3 linked regions of the Saccharomyces cerevisiae S288C genome follow. The main gene of each other region encodes a partner of the protein of the gene in region 3 in a complex. Each region holds a gene or a part of one and is shown on either strand. Other genes may lie near its edges. A codon is read from its position in the direction of its gene.

What was found.
Region 1: the proteins of EMC1 (region 3) and EMC4 are in contact, whole or in part, in a cryo-EM structure (PDB 6WB9), measured with the Saccharomyces cerevisiae proteins. Residues at the interface, in NP_009884.1 of Saccharomyces cerevisiae: Ser381 (codon at 2,784), Ile383 (codon at 2,790), Arg384 (codon at 2,793), Leu385 (codon at 2,796), Asn386 (codon at 2,799), Ser424 (codon at 2,913), His425 (codon at 2,916), Ile426 (codon at 2,919), Phe427 (codon at 2,922), Val428 (codon at 2,925), Thr429 (codon at 2,928), Glu430 (codon at 2,931), His431 (codon at 2,934), Tyr463 (codon at 3,030), Lys465 (codon at 3,036), Arg466 (codon at 3,039), Leu471 (codon at 3,054), Leu474 (codon at 3,063), Gly475 (codon at 3,066), Thr477 (codon at 3,072), Asp480 (codon at 3,081), Lys481 (codon at 3,084), Val483 (codon at 3,090), Tyr485 (codon at 3,096), Leu488 (codon at 3,105), Tyr489 (codon at 3,108), Pro490 (codon at 3,111), Asn491 (codon at 3,114), Leu492 (codon at 3,117), Thr512 (codon at 3,177); in NP_011283.1 of Saccharomyces cerevisiae: Gly163 (codon at 2,169), Ile165 (codon at 2,175), Ala168 (codon at 2,184), Lys169 (codon at 2,187), Gly170 (codon at 2,190), Asp171 (codon at 2,193), Leu173 (codon at 2,199), Glu176 (codon at 2,208), Arg177 (codon at 2,211), Ile178 (codon at 2,214), Ala179 (codon at 2,217), His180 (codon at 2,220), Tyr181 (codon at 2,223), Asn182 (codon at 2,226), Asn183 (codon at 2,229), Gly184 (codon at 2,232), Leu185 (codon at 2,235), Gln186 (codon at 2,238), Trp187 (codon at 2,241), Phe188 (codon at 2,244), Ser189 (codon at 2,247), Asp190 (codon at 2,250).
Region 2: the proteins of EMC1 (region 3) and EMC2 are in contact, whole or in part, in a cryo-EM structure (PDB 6WB9), measured with the Saccharomyces cerevisiae proteins. Residues at the interface, in NP_009884.1 of Saccharomyces cerevisiae: Ser749 (codon at 3,888), Asn750 (codon at 3,891), Leu753 (codon at 3,900), Gln756 (codon at 3,909), Trp757 (codon at 3,912), Leu758 (codon at 3,915), Ile759 (codon at 3,918); in NP_012621.1 of Saccharomyces cerevisiae: Glu47 (codon at 2,019), Gly48 (codon at 2,022), Phe51 (codon at 2,031), Phe52 (codon at 2,034), Glu55 (codon at 2,043), Leu77 (codon at 2,109), Arg80 (codon at 2,118), Leu81 (codon at 2,121), Asn84 (codon at 2,130), Ser85 (codon at 2,133), Tyr86 (codon at 2,136), Lys87 (codon at 2,139), Met88 (codon at 2,142), Asp122 (codon at 2,244), Val124 (codon at 2,250), Thr125 (codon at 2,253).

Annotation. Positions count from the first base shown.
Region 1 is NC_001139.9:62,548-65,302, reverse strand, and holds EMC4 (chaperone EMC4), read left to right. Parts: upstream 1-1,682; coding exon 1,683-2,255; downstream 2,256-2,755. Other genes in the region: SAP4 (Sap4p), read left to right, coding at 1-800; YGL230C (uncharacterized protein), read left to right, coding at 1,088-1,531; TAN1 (putative tRNA acetyltransferase), read right to left, coding at 2,301-2,755. UniProt on the Saccharomyces cerevisiae protein: Part of the endoplasmic reticulum membrane protein complex (EMC) that enables the energy-independent insertion into endoplasmic reticulum membranes of newly synthesized membrane proteins.
Region 2 is NC_001142.9:585,995-589,253, reverse strand, and holds EMC2 (Emc2p), read left to right. Parts: upstream 1-1,880; coding exon 1,881-2,759; downstream 2,760-3,259. Other genes in the region: BIR1 (survivin), read right to left, coding at 1-1,536; STE18 (Ste18p), read right to left, coding at 2,854-3,186. UniProt on the Saccharomyces cerevisiae protein: Part of the endoplasmic reticulum membrane protein complex (EMC) that enables the energy-independent insertion into endoplasmic reticulum membranes of newly synthesized membrane proteins.
Region 3 is NC_001135.5:39,048-48,548, reverse strand, and holds EMC1 (Emc1p), read left to right. Parts: upstream 1-1,643; coding exon 1,644-3,926; downstream 3,927-9,501. Other genes in the region: MGR1 (Mgr1p), read left to right, coding at 185-1,438; POF1 (nicotinamide-nucleotide adenylyltransferase), read left to right, coding at 4,112-4,888; SPS22 (Sps22p), read right to left, coding at 4,993-6,384; YCL048W-A (uncharacterized protein), read right to left, coding at 6,822-7,061; YCL049C (uncharacterized protein), read left to right, coding at 7,825-8,763. UniProt on the Saccharomyces cerevisiae protein: Part of the endoplasmic reticulum membrane protein complex (EMC) that enables the energy-independent insertion into endoplasmic reticulum membranes of newly synthesized membrane proteins.

The DNA of each region.
Region 1 (2,755 bases), on a different chromosome or scaffold from region 3:
TTGAAATTCCTTACGTCAGTGAAACGCAAAATTTGAAAATACGTAAAAACCCTACCATTGGAGATTTATTCAAAATTAAACTTCATGACCTTGGGTTTTTTCCAAAGTTTCTACAATTATTCTTAAGATATCCTTGGAATAACTTTTGGCACAACATTGTATTTGATATTATTCAGCAGATATTCAATGGTCGAATGGATTTTTCTTATAACTCATTTTTGGTCTATTCTTTGTTTGATTTCAAAAAGTCTACAAGATTTATCCCAAAACCTTTGTACGGCAGCAACCAAAAGTTACCTGTTAAAGACTTCCATATTATCTCTGATTTCATTTTACAAGGCCACAAGGATTCGTTTGAATTTTACGAAAAAGAGAAAACAAATTTAGGTTATATGGGTCAATTAGTATTAATTGCCGAAGAAATTGCGAAGTATTCCAAAATTTATAAGACCGATCTAATTGCTCCAGATATATATGCCTTCTTACAAGATGAAGTTTGGATGTCATATTCTAGTGACATCTTGAACGAAACAAGGACAATGTGTTCAATAATTCTTGGTGGAGGCCAGTTCTGTGCCGAAAGCGATGAAAATACTAACCAGGACTTTTTGGAAAAAGCTGATATGAGTAAACCAGCTCATCCATCCACAATGGATGAGAATGAAATTGTTCACGAGGAGGATGTTAAGTTGCATGATAAAGTTGCCGAGCTCATAGATGAATTGGGTCAATTAACCGAATTAGATATTCATGATAAAATTAAAGATGTTATTGTTGATCATCATTCCGACTTAAATTGATTAGGTTAAGTCGTCAAACCAATTTTGACTTTTTTTTTCCTACATTTTTAATATTTTGTTTCTCGTTTTGCCTTATTTAATTTTGTGACATGTAAAAATTACGAAGCCTATTGGGGGCCAATTGAAGTAAACTAAATATAACAATAGTCCTTTGTAGTTCAGGAATGTTCACCAACTATTCACCAAAAATTATTGTCTAGCTTACTTTCAATAACTTATAGCTATCTATACAAAAATAATCATATAACTAAAGTCAGGCCCAAACCAGGCAAAACAAAACCATAATAATGGGAATTATTACACTATCCGGCAATGTTCTACATTTATTGAAAGCCTACCCAAAAAAGGGCCTTGAAGAGGTTTCTCAACCAGAGCCTAATACAGCAAATGATTCCTCGACTGAATATAAAGGAAAAAGCAAGGATGATTTTCAAATGGTCGAAAAATCCAATACAGATGAGAGATACAATTTTACAAGAACGAAAAAATGGTTTTTATTGATGACCTCAGAATATTACAAACTAATGGAAAACAGACTTTTAATGTTTTGCATTATCGCTTGCTCTTTTATTTGTGCTATCCAATTTCTTTTCTTTATAATTTATTGGACCAACATTGTTCCACGGAAGACGCAAAGGGCAATAACTAACCTAAATTACGATTATTTAACAGCCCATCTAAAAGAGCAATGCGTTCCATATGCGAAAATTCTTGACCAATGTATTCTCTAGCAATCTCTGCTTTTGTACATTCGTAGTTTTTTCATGTTCCTTTCATAAATAATAAAAAAAGCGTATTCTTTTCTATATAAATAGAATGAAAAAAAGTTGAACATAATATCAGTTAAGGTTAAAATAAAGCCAAACGATATAAGCAACAGAAATGAGTGAACAGGAGCCTTACGAATGGGCTAAACACCTATTGGACACCAAGTATATCGAAAAATACAACATTCAGAACTCAAACACATTACCTTCACCACCAGGATTTGAAGGTAATTCCTCTAAAGGAAATGTTACAAGAAAACAACAAGATGCTACATCTCAAACTACTTCTTTGGCACAAAAAAACCAAATAACAGTATTACAAGTACAGAAGGCATGGCAAATTGCGTTACAACCAGCCAAATCTATTCCGATGAATATTTTTATGTCGTATATGTCCGGTACATCCTTACAAATCATTCCTATAATGACTGCCCTCATGCTACTCTCTGGACCCATTAAAGCAATATTTTCAACAAGGAGTGCATTCAAACCAGTGTTGGGTAATAAAGCAACACAAAGTCAAGTGCAAACTGCTATGTTCATGTATATCGTATTCCAAGGCGTCTTAATGTACATTGGATACAGGAAACTAAATTCAATGGGTCTCATTCCTAACGCTAAGGGTGATTGGCTACCCTGGGAACGAATTGCTCATTATAATAATGGATTACAATGGTTTTCCGATTGAGAGCGTATATACTTATATAAAATATCTATTCTGTTTCATATATGATTATTGTTTTACACTCTTATCTTCATCCTTTCGGAATTTCGATTCATAAAGCTGTTGAACGTTGTATTTACGATATTTGGTTTTATAATCCCCATCGACTACACACATTCCGATATTGCTCTTAAAACATTCCACTAGAATCAATTTATCATAGTTCTTCAAGTCCACAGTATGATTAAACTCAGAACCCTCTTTATTGACCAGCTTCACAACTTGATTAATGATGTCCATTCTTTCAATCGTATTGAAATTTCTTCTTGTCACTTCTACAGCAAATTTATAATTTTTTTTAACATTCGAAGGGTCATGAAAGTGTGGCCCAATAACCAAATTGGCCAACTTGATTAATTGCTCCATTTTTGCATTACAAGAGTACGTAATAGGTGTTAATTTCTGAACATATCTAGTACGTTTAACCATATTTTTGGGATCCGCTAAGTCTTTCATGATACTTA
Region 2 (3,259 bases), on a different chromosome or scaffold from region 3:
TAAATCTTCTTCAGAATTAACAGAAAATTTTTCGTGTTTAGAAGACGCTCCTTTTGTGTCTGTATTTATGCCAGTATCATCTTCTCGTATAACATTGTCATTATCTGAATCTATACCTTTGAGCAAATGTGATGAGGTTGGTATAGGTATGTCAAATGTGTTATGTCCTTGGTTACTGAAACTGAATTCATCTGTGCTGTCATCTAAAATAGCATTCTTTCTCCCTACATCTCTATTTTTTATGATATGGCTTGTAAAATCTATAACCAAATCCTTATCTTTGTTGTCTCCGTTGGCAGAATTATTATTAAGGGAGTGTTCGCTATCTTCCTCATCAAAGATTTTTCTAGGCGATATTCTCTTAAACTTTCTTTTCTTTTTTATAGGTGACGATGATTGGGTTAGCTGGACATTTGGACGTTTGATTTCTTTTGCAGTTGGTGTCGAAATAACTTCTTTCTTATCTGCTAAAACATCACGATTTATATTGCCCTCTTCTAATGTAGTGCTTCCATTTTCCATGTTGATTTGTTCTTTTTCTTCCACACTATTACGTTTTACATTTTCGCCTTGTGCTCCATCAAGCACACTTATATTATGTTGAATAACAGATATATCTGTCTTCTCATTATAATCGTCAAGTTGAGGACCAGTACTAGATGGAGGTGACTCAAATAAAGGACACTGCCTTTGAGAAGCGGTTTTCGTGTTGATCACTTCTCTTTTCCCATTTTCGCCTAAAGTTGGAGAGACTTCGCAATTTTTCGTGATACTGTCATTGTCATTTTTTATTCTCTCAAATCGATTACGTGTCTGAAAGAAATAACAGTTCCCATTTTGAGAAACCTTATAATGTCGGCTCATCGGATCGTCATTTATTGACCAACCTTGTAACAACTGTTTGCAATAAATACAATAACAGGTATCGTTCATAAGTGTTTTATCCATGCTTGGATCGCCTAAGCCTTCTATGCTGGAGTCGTATCGCATGAGTCCTGCATTCACCATCTTTTCTATACCCAGCGGATGTTCATTTTGAGAACCACTGTGAGGCCAGTTATCTTGAAAAGTAAATTTTCTTAGGTTTATCACGTTTTCATCATCTGGATTGCTGAAGTACTTGTCATTTTTCCAGTCCGAAACCCCCATATGGAAGCTATAGTCCGTCAATAGCTTATTGCGCAAGTAAATAAGGAGGCAAACTTGTTTGTTATCAGTAACAGTCAGATGTTGCCTCATTATATTGCTTAGAGTCTCAAGAACATCTTTTCTTTTGGATCTGCAGTCTCTCACATTGTATGTTTGACGATGACAATAGCAACATCTTACAGAGTCTTTTTTCAGTTTAGATGTCTTAGGATCGATCACTGGATCAAAGTAAAATCCAAGCTTGGCCATTGCCTGATACGGAATAACTTTAAAACTCCACTTTAACTTTTTTTTTTCAAGTGCAACACCATCTTGGAAAGTCCTTAACCTATTCTCCAGTTTGGTCATGCTATATCGCTTCTCCATTTTATCTATTTGACCATCCATAATCCCATGAGGTATAAACAACCGATGTGTCCTCGAATGTTGCACGCCCAGAGAACTTTAGCTAGGCTTTCAACACTAATATGAAACCTCAATCAATCTGAAAGAACTATAGGACACACTATAACTAAAAGTGCTTGATGACCTTGACCGATGTGTGAAATGGGTATGTATTGCAATATTATACTAAACTGTTAATCTTCGTATCGCGTGATGTGTTAGAAGCGTTGACTAGTGAAGTTAAGTAAAGAGATTTGGATCGTTAATGAAATAAATAACTATGTATGAATGAAAGGCATTGGATCGCATTGGAACGGAGAAAATTATAGAAAGCAGTAGATAAAACAATGTTGAAGGATTTGGTTAGAGAAAAGCTTTTGACAATTATGAATACCAAAGCGTATACTCAATTTAATCCAGAACAATTACTGCAACTAGAAAATGAAATGAAAATTTACATGAAAAGCGGAGACTCTGCACTAACAGAAGGAAACTATTTCTTCTTGATGGAAATGCTTTTCTATGTTTTGGTGTACCGAAACCAAGACGTTGATGCGCAAGTTGTTTATAATACATTAAGAGATCGTCTTGGTGAAAATTCGTATAAAATGGTAATCATGAAAGCCACTTTATTGCAGATAAACGGAAATGATAAAGGCGCTATTGAATATCTGGAAAATTTGTTGAATGATGATCTGGAGTATGAAACGGACTTCGTTACTTATGTCTCTATTGCAAAGAAATTGATAGCTATCAAGACAACTTCCAAGAACTTGAGCCAAGAAAGTGTTCTTAAAGAAGTGGTAGCTCTTACAGATAAATTCCCGCTTGATGCAGAATTGTGGTGGTATGCCAGCGAGATTTATTTCGAAATGGGCCAATTTGAAAAAGCCTGTTATTGTTTGGAACAGGTCCTATGTATTACACCATTCAATTACGCTTGTTTTGGTAGGCTAAGTGAGACTCTGTATTATGAGGCTCTACGTAGCAAGAAACAAACCAAGACCGAGCTCTTGGAAAAGGCATTAAAGAATGCTTTGAGGAGCGTTGAACTTAGCGAACTATACCTAAAAGGGTGGGCATTGGTTAACATCATTTCTCGCGAACTGGGACGTAATAAACAAAATGACTTGATCAAACTATCTGCATCGAAGCTAAAGGAAATTTCTGCGAAGTCTAACAATAAAGATAAGATTACCGCTGAATTAATTTTGAATAAGATATGAACGGAGCCAAAATTAGAAGAAAAAAAAAGATAGGGTGAGAGAGGATATGAAAAAGCATGTATATTTTTTTTTTTTTTGGATTCTATTACTATCATTACATAAGCGTACAACAAACACTATTTGAGTTTGACATTTGGCTATTTTTTTGAGCATTTTTCAAACCCTCTATAAAATGATTTGATCCTGCTACGGGGTAGCCCCATAGTTCTGGTAATGTATAATCTTTTGTATTCGAGGTATAGTTTATTATTGTAAGACATGCATTTGAAGCAGTAATTCTTTCACGGCTGAGTTCTTTCCTCAGTTTATTGTTAAGTTCGTTGATTCTTTTTAACTTCAATTGTTTTATCTTTAAGGAAAGCTGTTGCTGTTGCTGTTGCTGTTCCTGAGGTTGTTGTAAGCGTGGAGAGTTTTGAACTGATGTCATTCTTAGAATTATTGAGAACGTTTGCGATTGCTACTATCCTAAAATTGACAGGTGCTGTCACAAAACATTTCTG
Region 3 (9,501 bases):
TAGTTGTTCGCTATATTCGTCACACTGCACGAACGCCTTAGGGAAAGAGAAAATTGACCACGTAGTAATAATAAGTGCATGGCATCGTCTTTTACTTAAATGTGGACACTTGCTTTACTGCTTAGGAAACTACTTATCTCATCCTCCTCCATTCCCTCTCCTTTTCCAATTACCGTAATAAAAGATGGCTGTATTTACTCCTCCATCAGGTAATAGCAATTCCACCGACCATACTCACACACAAGATGACCACGACAAAGATGATAATGATATCAAGAAATTCTACATAAGGCCAAGTTTAGGCTTAAAACTGTGGGGTCCGCTCGTACCCGCTCCTGATAACCTACCGGGACTATACACTCTAATCACTATCCAATCTGCAGTGGGTTTCTTTGCCCTTTGGAGACTGAGAAGGCTCTACAAACTACCGCCACCGCGCCGCATTGCCACTGGCACTCACTCGGATTTATCCTTTGGCGAACTACCCAGTGAAATGATTGTCAATGGCAAGACTAAAATCAAAAAGGATATTGCTGACTTTCCAACTTTGAACCGCTTCTCCACCACCCATGGTGACATTGTGCTCGCCCCTCCTCCCATCATACCTCGCCAATCTCGATTCGTCAGCGTCAGAAAGCTCTTATGGGGGTTGTTTGGCTCTTTGCTACTTTCTCAGTCACTGTTGGAGCTTACTCGCCTGAACTTTCTTAAATACGACCCCTGGTGCGACGAAATGAAATCCGTACGTGACAAGAAGTTTTTCAACAATATTGTCAAATATTATCACGAGGGCATAGACCCCACCAAAATAAAAGTCAAGGATGCTATGAACGGTACTCCTCTCTCGACAAATATCCCTGAGGTCAAACAAAGCGTCGCTCTCGCTAGAGCGCAAGTTGAGGCGCAGAATCCCATTATTAAATGGTTCGGACCCTTGGAATACAAGCCCATGTCTTTCAACGAGTACCTCAATCGCATGGAATTTCACTTGGACATGTTCGAGTTTTTTCAAAATAAAAGAAACATTAGAGAAAATTCCATTGAACTCATCAATTCCATATCCCACAATCCGCAGTCTTCTTCTACTGGCCTTGAAGGTCTTTCCGAGTCCAAAAAACTCCATCTACAAAATGTGGAAAAAAGACTGCATTTCTTAGCATCTTCGGGAGATTCCATTTCCGCACCAGTAAAGAAGAGATCCAGCACCACACTCTCCCGAGGTGTCATTTTGCCCCATGACACGAAAGGCCCGCAAGATATTGATCTCGATACAATAAGATCGCTTTATGATCCATGGATGACTTTGGCCTTAGAAACTTCGCTAAGCATCAAATTCATACCAACTACCATGCCCTCCCATACCAAGACACCCACTAGCACGGACCAGCCGTTACCAGGGCCTACCCCCAAGGCTCTCACTAATGAAAAGACACATTAGGTCTTTGCGGATTGCTTAGTTGTACCGTGCGTATATTAAATCCTTCTTCGTACACCGTGATTTTTCAGACGGCTACCAGAGAAAATATGGCTGGGATTTCATATTATATATGCAAATATATAATAACATATATATATATACACTCCATTAATAACTAATACCTACATTCATATCAACACTTTCATCCTCCCCTTCCCCCATAGCAATGAAGATAACGTGTACAGACTTGGTGTACGTCTTCATTTTACTCTTCCTAAACACGAGTTGTGTCCAAGCCGTTTTTTCAGATGATGCATTTATCACTGATTGGCAACTGGCTAACTTAGGTCCTTGGGAGAAAGTCATCCCTGATTCTCGAGACCGCAACAGGGTTCTCATCTTATCGAACCCTACCGAAACTTCCTGCTTAGTTTCTTCGTTTAACGTTTCTTCCGGACAGATTCTTTTCAGAAACGTTTTACCCTTTACCATTGATGAGATTCAACTGGATAGTAATGACCATAACGCAATGGTTTGTGTGAACTCTTCAAGCAACCATTGGCAGAAATATGATTTACACGATTGGTTTTTACTAGAGGAAGGCGTAGATAATGCCCCTTCTACGACCATTTTACCTCAATCCTCATATTTAAACGATCAAGTATCTATTAAGAACAATGAACTACATATTCTCGATGAGCAGTCAAAACTGGCAGAATGGAAATTGGAGTTACCTCAAGGGTTCAATAAAGTGGAATATTTTCATCGTGAAGATCCCCTGGCGTTAGTGTTGAACGTTAATGATACCCAATATATGGGATTCTCTGCCAATGGCACAGAATTGATCCCCGTTTGGCAAAGAGATGAATGGTTGACTAACGTGGTAGACTATGCTGTATTGGACGTCTTCGATTCTAGGGATGTGGAGTTGAACAAAGATATGAAAGCGGAACTTGATTCAAATTCGCTTTGGAATGCTTACTGGCTTAGATTGACAACTAATTGGAATCGCCTTATCAACTTATTGAAAGAAAACCAATTCTCACCAGGACGTGTCTTCACTAAACTCCTAGCTCTAGACGCTAAGGATACCACGGTATCAGATTTGAAGTTCGGATTCGCCAAAATCTTAATTGTTTTGACGCATGATGGCTTTATCGGCGGCCTTGATATGGTCAATAAGGGCCAACTTATCTGGAAACTCGATTTAGAAATTGATCAGGGCGTCAAAATGTTCTGGACGGATAAAAACCATGACGAACTTGTTGTTTTTTCGCATGATGGGCATTATTTGACAATTGAAGTTACTAAAGATCAACCGATTATCAAATCAAGATCCCCCCTATCTGAAAGGAAAACTGTTGATTCCGTTATTAGGCTGAATGAACATGATCACCAGTATCTGATTAAGTTTGAGGATAAGGATCATTTACTGTTCAAATTGAATCCCGGCAAGAATACGGATGTACCAATAGTTGCCAACAACCATTCTAGTTCCCACATATTCGTCACAGAGCATGACACGAATGGCATTTATGGCTACATAATCGAAAACGATACGGTAAAACAAACTTGGAAAAAAGCCGTAAATTCGAAAGAGAAAATGGTGGCATATAGCAAGAGGGAAACAACAAACCTAAACACTCTTGGTATTACACTAGGTGACAAATCGGTTCTTTATAAATATTTGTACCCCAACCTAGCGGCTTATCTGATCGCTAATGAAGAACATCATACAATCACTTTTAACTTAATTGATACCATTACAGGAGAAATCCTCATTACCCAAGAGCACAAGGATTCTCCGGATTTTAGGTTTCCAATGGATATTGTTTTCGGTGAATATTGGGTCGTTTATTCCTATTTCAGTTCTGAACCTGTTCCAGAACAAAAGTTAGTAGTGGTGGAATTATATGAGTCACTAACCCCAGATGAGCGTTTGTCTAACTCAAGCGACAATTTTTCTTATGATCCATTGACTGGACACATTAACAAACCTCAATTTCAAACTAAACAATTCATTTTTCCCGAGATTATCAAAACAATGTCCATTTCCAAGACAACGGATGATATTACCACAAAGGCAATCGTTATGGAATTAGAAAATGGACAAATCACCTACATACCAAAGCTTTTATTGAATGCAAGAGGTAAACCAGCAGAAGAAATGGCCAAGGATAAGAAAAAAGAGTTTATGGCTACCCCATACACGCCAGTTATCCCAATTAATGATAATTTCATTATCACTCATTTCAGAAATCTATTGCCAGGATCCGATTCGCAGTTGATCTCCATCCCAACCAATCTGGAATCCACAAGCATTATATGTGATCTAGGCCTTGATGTATTTTGTACAAGGATCACACCTTCGGGCCAATTTGATTTAATGAGTCCTACTTTCGAAAAGGGTAAATTGCTTATTACTATATTCGTCTTGTTGGTGATCACGTATTTTATCCGTCCTTCTGTTTCAAACAAGAAGTTGAAATCCCAATGGCTAATTAAATAGATATTTACATACACATTATATATATCAGATACACATTTCAAGGCTCCTTATTTTGGCTTTCTTTTTTTTTTTTTTTTTTTTCCCTGGAAGACGTCATACTCGTGGTTATATAATCTCCTACTTCTTTGGAAAATGGACACTTAATCAATGACGGTTGATAGCAGTACGTGCACTAGCAGACTAATATGAAGAAGACGTTCGAGCAGTTTCGAAAAAGCAATTTACTATTTCAGGTTCTCAAAGGACCCCAGCATCTAGAATGTCAGAAGTTATTTGTCCTTGATTCTTCATTCAATCCACCACATCTGGCCCATTTTCAACTACTATCGCAGACTATTAAAAACTTCAAATTGAAGGACACCCGTTCGCATGTTTTATTACTGTTAGCGGTGAATAATGCAGATAAGTTGCCTAAGCCGGCATCTTTTCCAACTCGTCTGGAAATGATGTGCTTATTCGCTGACTACCTTCAGGAGAAGCTCCCCCAATCTGTAGTATCTGTCGGGTTGACTGTTTTCTCGAAATTCATCGACAAGGACAAAATATTACATGAGCAATTTGTTAAAGGATGCAGTGCAGATATAGGCTACTTAGTTGGTTTTGATACAATTGCTAGGATCTTTGATGAAAAATATTATCATCCTTTAAAAATCAGTGATGTAATGGAGAGCTTCATGTCGGGATCTCAATTATATTGCTTGGCGAGAGGCGATTGCCATCTCAGTGCTGAATCGCAACTAAGATACGCCAGTGACATCCTTGAGGGAAAATTCGAACCGGTAATACCAAGAGAATGGGGCGCTAGGATTCATGTTATGCAAAATGATTATCCAGCATTAAGAAATGTTTCATCATCCGAGATTAGGAACAAACTGAAGAATGGGCAAGTGGAGAGTTTGAAAGACGAGTTGCCATTGTGCATATACGATTATTTGATCAATAATAAGACAATATTTGATTGAAAGAGAAAGATAGAAATTCAAATGCCTTTCATGGAGATATATGTATATAGATAAAGATAATATTAGGAACAAAAAAAACTTTCTGTTATACTAGACTAGTAATCTTAAAACAATAACATAGCAACAAGGCATGTACCAAAAAGAAGGGGGTCCAATTGCATGCTTGGATTTGCTGAGTTCGCGTATTTTGAAATCACTCTTTTCTTGGAGTCTTCACCTTCTTGCGTTAAATCTTTGTACCCTTTTTCTATGATTGTACCATCCTGTTTAACATTCAGCGTATTTTCCTTCTTACCAGAAATACAAGTGAATTTCCCACCCCTGATGATTGATCTTCCATTTGATGGGTTTGTCCATTTATTGCAATCCAACACGTTTGATGAACTCTTAATAAAAGCGCTACCTTTCACCAGTTTCAAGCTATCGAACATGATATCTTTGAACGAACCTTCAAAGAAAATAGCACCTCCAATCTGCTTCAAGTTTGGCAGGAAAGTAATATCCTCGAGGGATTCGTTATCGGCGATCATCAAGCCACCTTGAATGTCTGTTAAGTTCTCCAAATTAACTTTTATTAAATTTACATTGTTGATAATTCCTAATGTTCCACCAATCTTCTGCAAATTGTTCAGGTTCAATTCGTAAAAGTAATTTTCGATGAACTCTAAAGAGCTTTTCACTTTTGTTAATTGTGGAAGGTAGACCAATGATGTGTCCCTAATCGTTATGTTTTCCACTTCTCTCAAGTGTGGCATTTCAAGTTCTAGCTCCTTAGCGTTCGCATGTACACTGAATTGTCCCCTAATGGTTTTAACGTTCGAATGAATAGTTTCTAAAAATCTGTTATTATTGATATTGAAAGTATCAATTTCCTGAACCTTGTTGAAATTCTCGATGTTTGCTAATGAAGTATCCGATATGACAATATCCTTTATAATCTCAATATTCTGAGAATCCATGGAGACGTAGTTCAAGATGGGAACAACTTTCCACTCCAGTGACTGACAAAATTTCAAAGTTGGAATTTCAACAGAAACCAAAGAGGTTAGTCCCTGTAATTGGAAGAGCCCTTCGATTTTATTCAAGTTCCCGGCTTGGATTCTGATCAGTTCAGGTGAATCCTGAATAATCAGGTCACCACCAATGGCCCTCAAGCTGTTCAAATCCAAAATGTTAGAATCATAGTTTGTGACTTTTAATGACCCCAAGATGAATTCACATTGGTTTTGTAAATGAAAAAGATCATGAGACGATTCAATGACGTGCAAATCTTTTTTACACAACTCTGATATCGGTGAGTTTGTGTTCAGACTCTTGACATCTATTTCAAAAAACGGTTCATTTGCTCTTCTTTGAAGTTCGAGATTACCGTTATGAAAAGGCTTCACATTATGTGGTCGCCTTGGCGGATCAATAGCGGCACCCAATGCATGTGTCACAAATAATGATGCAAATATAATCGCGAATAAACAACTTTTCCTAGTAATACGGTTCATAAGTCGATCAAGTAATGAAAAAATGGCTTTTGGTTTTCCTTGTTGTATTTCAGATGAGATATCTTACCAACAGAACAAGTTTCTCTATTGTATGTCACAAAAGGATATAGCTTCTCCAAAATCTTTCTTTTTTATATTTTTTTTTTTTTTTTTTTTTTTGAATTAGTGACGCATCTTCTGTACAGTAAAGAGAGAAAAAAAGGGTATAATAAAACAGTTAAGCTATACTATAGTAGCGCATACACACAACGTATATACATCTAGTATTAAATATTAGTAATTATTAAATAACGAAAAAATAAATTATGGTTGAAATAGAATCAAACGTAAAGAACAAAGAAAAAGCTTAATGGAACGAAAGTTAAAAAGCTCCCCAATTTTGAACAACGGTTATGGAATTAGAAAGAAAGAAAAAAATAAAGGAAATAAAAATGTTCCTAGAATAAGAAGGCAACACCGGCAGCGATTGCTGCTCCAAAGGCACCCGCCGCCATGGTATTAACTACGGCTTCGCCAATCGAAACTGTCGTAGTCACCGAAGCGGTAGGAAGAGTAGTATTTGGCTGCGTAGCATTTGGCTGCGTAGCATTTGGAGTAGTGGCGTTAGGTTCAATGCCAACTTGGGCGTTGATAGCAGTGACTGTAGCTAGAACAGCGACAATGTTTTTGATTTGCATTATTTAACGGAAGTATAAGGTTTGAAAAGGGAGCTTTAATTGTTTTAGCCGTTATCGATTTAGCGGTGAGAATGAAATAAAGAAAAGAGGAAGAAAAGACATTACATACAAATTTTTTTCAACTTAAATGGAGGTTATGTACTTTCTTATATAGATGCTAATCTTTTTTTTTCATCTCATCACAGATTTACGTCGTCAATCTACTAACTTCCCTTATCTTCCCTAAAGGGTATCTTACGTTTCCCCTTAGGGAAAATGAGTTTTGTCCCACCTTCCCTTTGGGAAAAGGCAATGTAAATCTTAGAGGCAAGAACCACACTTGTTGATAAGATCAGCTGCGTAACAGTGCGCTAGGCAAAGGGATGGAATAAGATAAATCCCTTGTTATCCCTTTGCTTTTAGTCTTATGTTGGGGAAGTCCACAAGTTATTGTTACATAAAGGAGGAGAAGAAAACTAGGGGAATATTTATAACACTCGCATTAGCTGATCGTAGGAAAGCAACACAAAACATATGCATCAGCTGGCCCTGTTTGTCTTGCTCATCGATTGATTTTGCAAGCAAAGCTGGGATACCCGAATGTGTATGGTTTTCCTTTTTTTGGTATTTTTCTCCTATAAACGAGCTTTTTTTCGTCTTGCATTCAGATTTAAATAGCTGCTTCTAAATATATACTTTACGCAAGAGGGTCCGGTCCCAATAGGAACCAAGCTATTGCAATTCCAGGGTTCAAGAGAGAAAAATCTGTAATCACTTCGAACCAATGTTTAGTAAATACCTCGTAACTGCATCTTCCCTCTTTGTGGCTTTGACCTCTGCAGCATCTACCGTTGATCTAGATGCTCTGCTTCTTCTACCAGGGGTCGAGTCCCACGACGGCGTTGATACTGTATTTTCGACCAAAGACTTTTATCAAGTGTCATTCGTCAAATCCATTGCTCCTGCTATCGTAAACAGCTCCGTAATCTTCCACGATGTTTCTCGTGGTGTGGCTATGGGCAATGTCAAGAGCAGAGCAAGTATCTTCAACCCAGAGGAAACGTATTACGATTGGGAACAGTACCAAGTAGTAAATAACGGAGACTGGCGAACCGAATGGGCACCTGCCTCTGACTGCATTTGGAGGGAGGAGAAGGATAACAGCGACGAAACACCGGACAGATTCCCCATCTCGGTGCCATATAATTGGACGTCACAGTACTCAATTGTAGATTATGACACAGACGCTAACGAAGACAATTTAGATTTCAGGTTTATTAAATCATTGCTAGATAAGAAAAATTGGTTGAAAAAAATTAACCAGACTGTTTCCCAATCCAGTATTATGGTAGCACCAATGATTAGGCCATACAATGTGGTCCAGCTTTGGTATTCAAAAGATATGGTTTGGGCAAACGTCCAAAGACAATATTGTAGCGGTGTTTATCCAGGAGGGACTCAATGTAGCGCTTGGTCCAGGTACTACCATGTTGATGCACCCACCTGCGATGAGCCTGTCGCCTCTTACATGACCAAAATGTTGGAAAATGAGGTTCAGTGTCCCAATGAGAGAAACGCAACTACCCTAGAGCCTCTCCGCCTGAATAAGCAGGGAGACTCTGATTTTTCTTTGACTTTCGAGGAAGAGGAAGAGGAAGAGACAGGATCTAAATCTCTTTGGAGTACATTGAAAAAAATTTTCTCTAAAAGAAGTATAAGTTGATCTTAGTTGGTAGCACTTTGATGAGGTCTCTAGCAAAAAGTCTACAAACAAATTCTTGAAAGTGTTTGATTGTATATCGATATATCAGAAACATACATATGATTTTTATCTTGTGAATATTCATCAAACTCCGTTTTTAGCCCCCGTGTAAGTTACTTTAATGAGTATTTGATCCTTTTTTTTATTGTGTTGGTTTTTATATGTTTTGTTATGTATTGTTTATTTTCCCTTTAATTTTAGGATATGAAAACAAGAATTTATCAAAGAAAAAAATCTTAGCTTTAAGAACTACAAAGTAAATAAAAAATAATAAATCACACCGGACAGTACATGAAACTGGACATATTTGAGGAATTTCTTTTGAAGAGTTGAGCATTCAAACTGGCCGGTCTTGCTGTGGCCTCAATCCACTTGAGCTCCAAAGAAGGCTCTGAAATGCTTATTTTTTTCAAGCGATACAAAGTAAACAGTTACATACCTGAATGATACTACCACAACTATTTACATTATCGTCCTGTCAAAAGGCGAATAATCAGAACTGTTTGTTAACATGTCATTTTATAAGAGCGGCCTGAAATACTGTCATAAGTGGTCTGTCGAAAGTAGTTATTACGGCGTCGGGCGTCGCGAATAGCTCAAAAGTCACCCCAGCTTACACGATATTCCCATAACCTACAGCAAGAAGCTATTCTTGGATACAAGCACCAGTTACAAGCACTGCATTCATATATTGCCTTT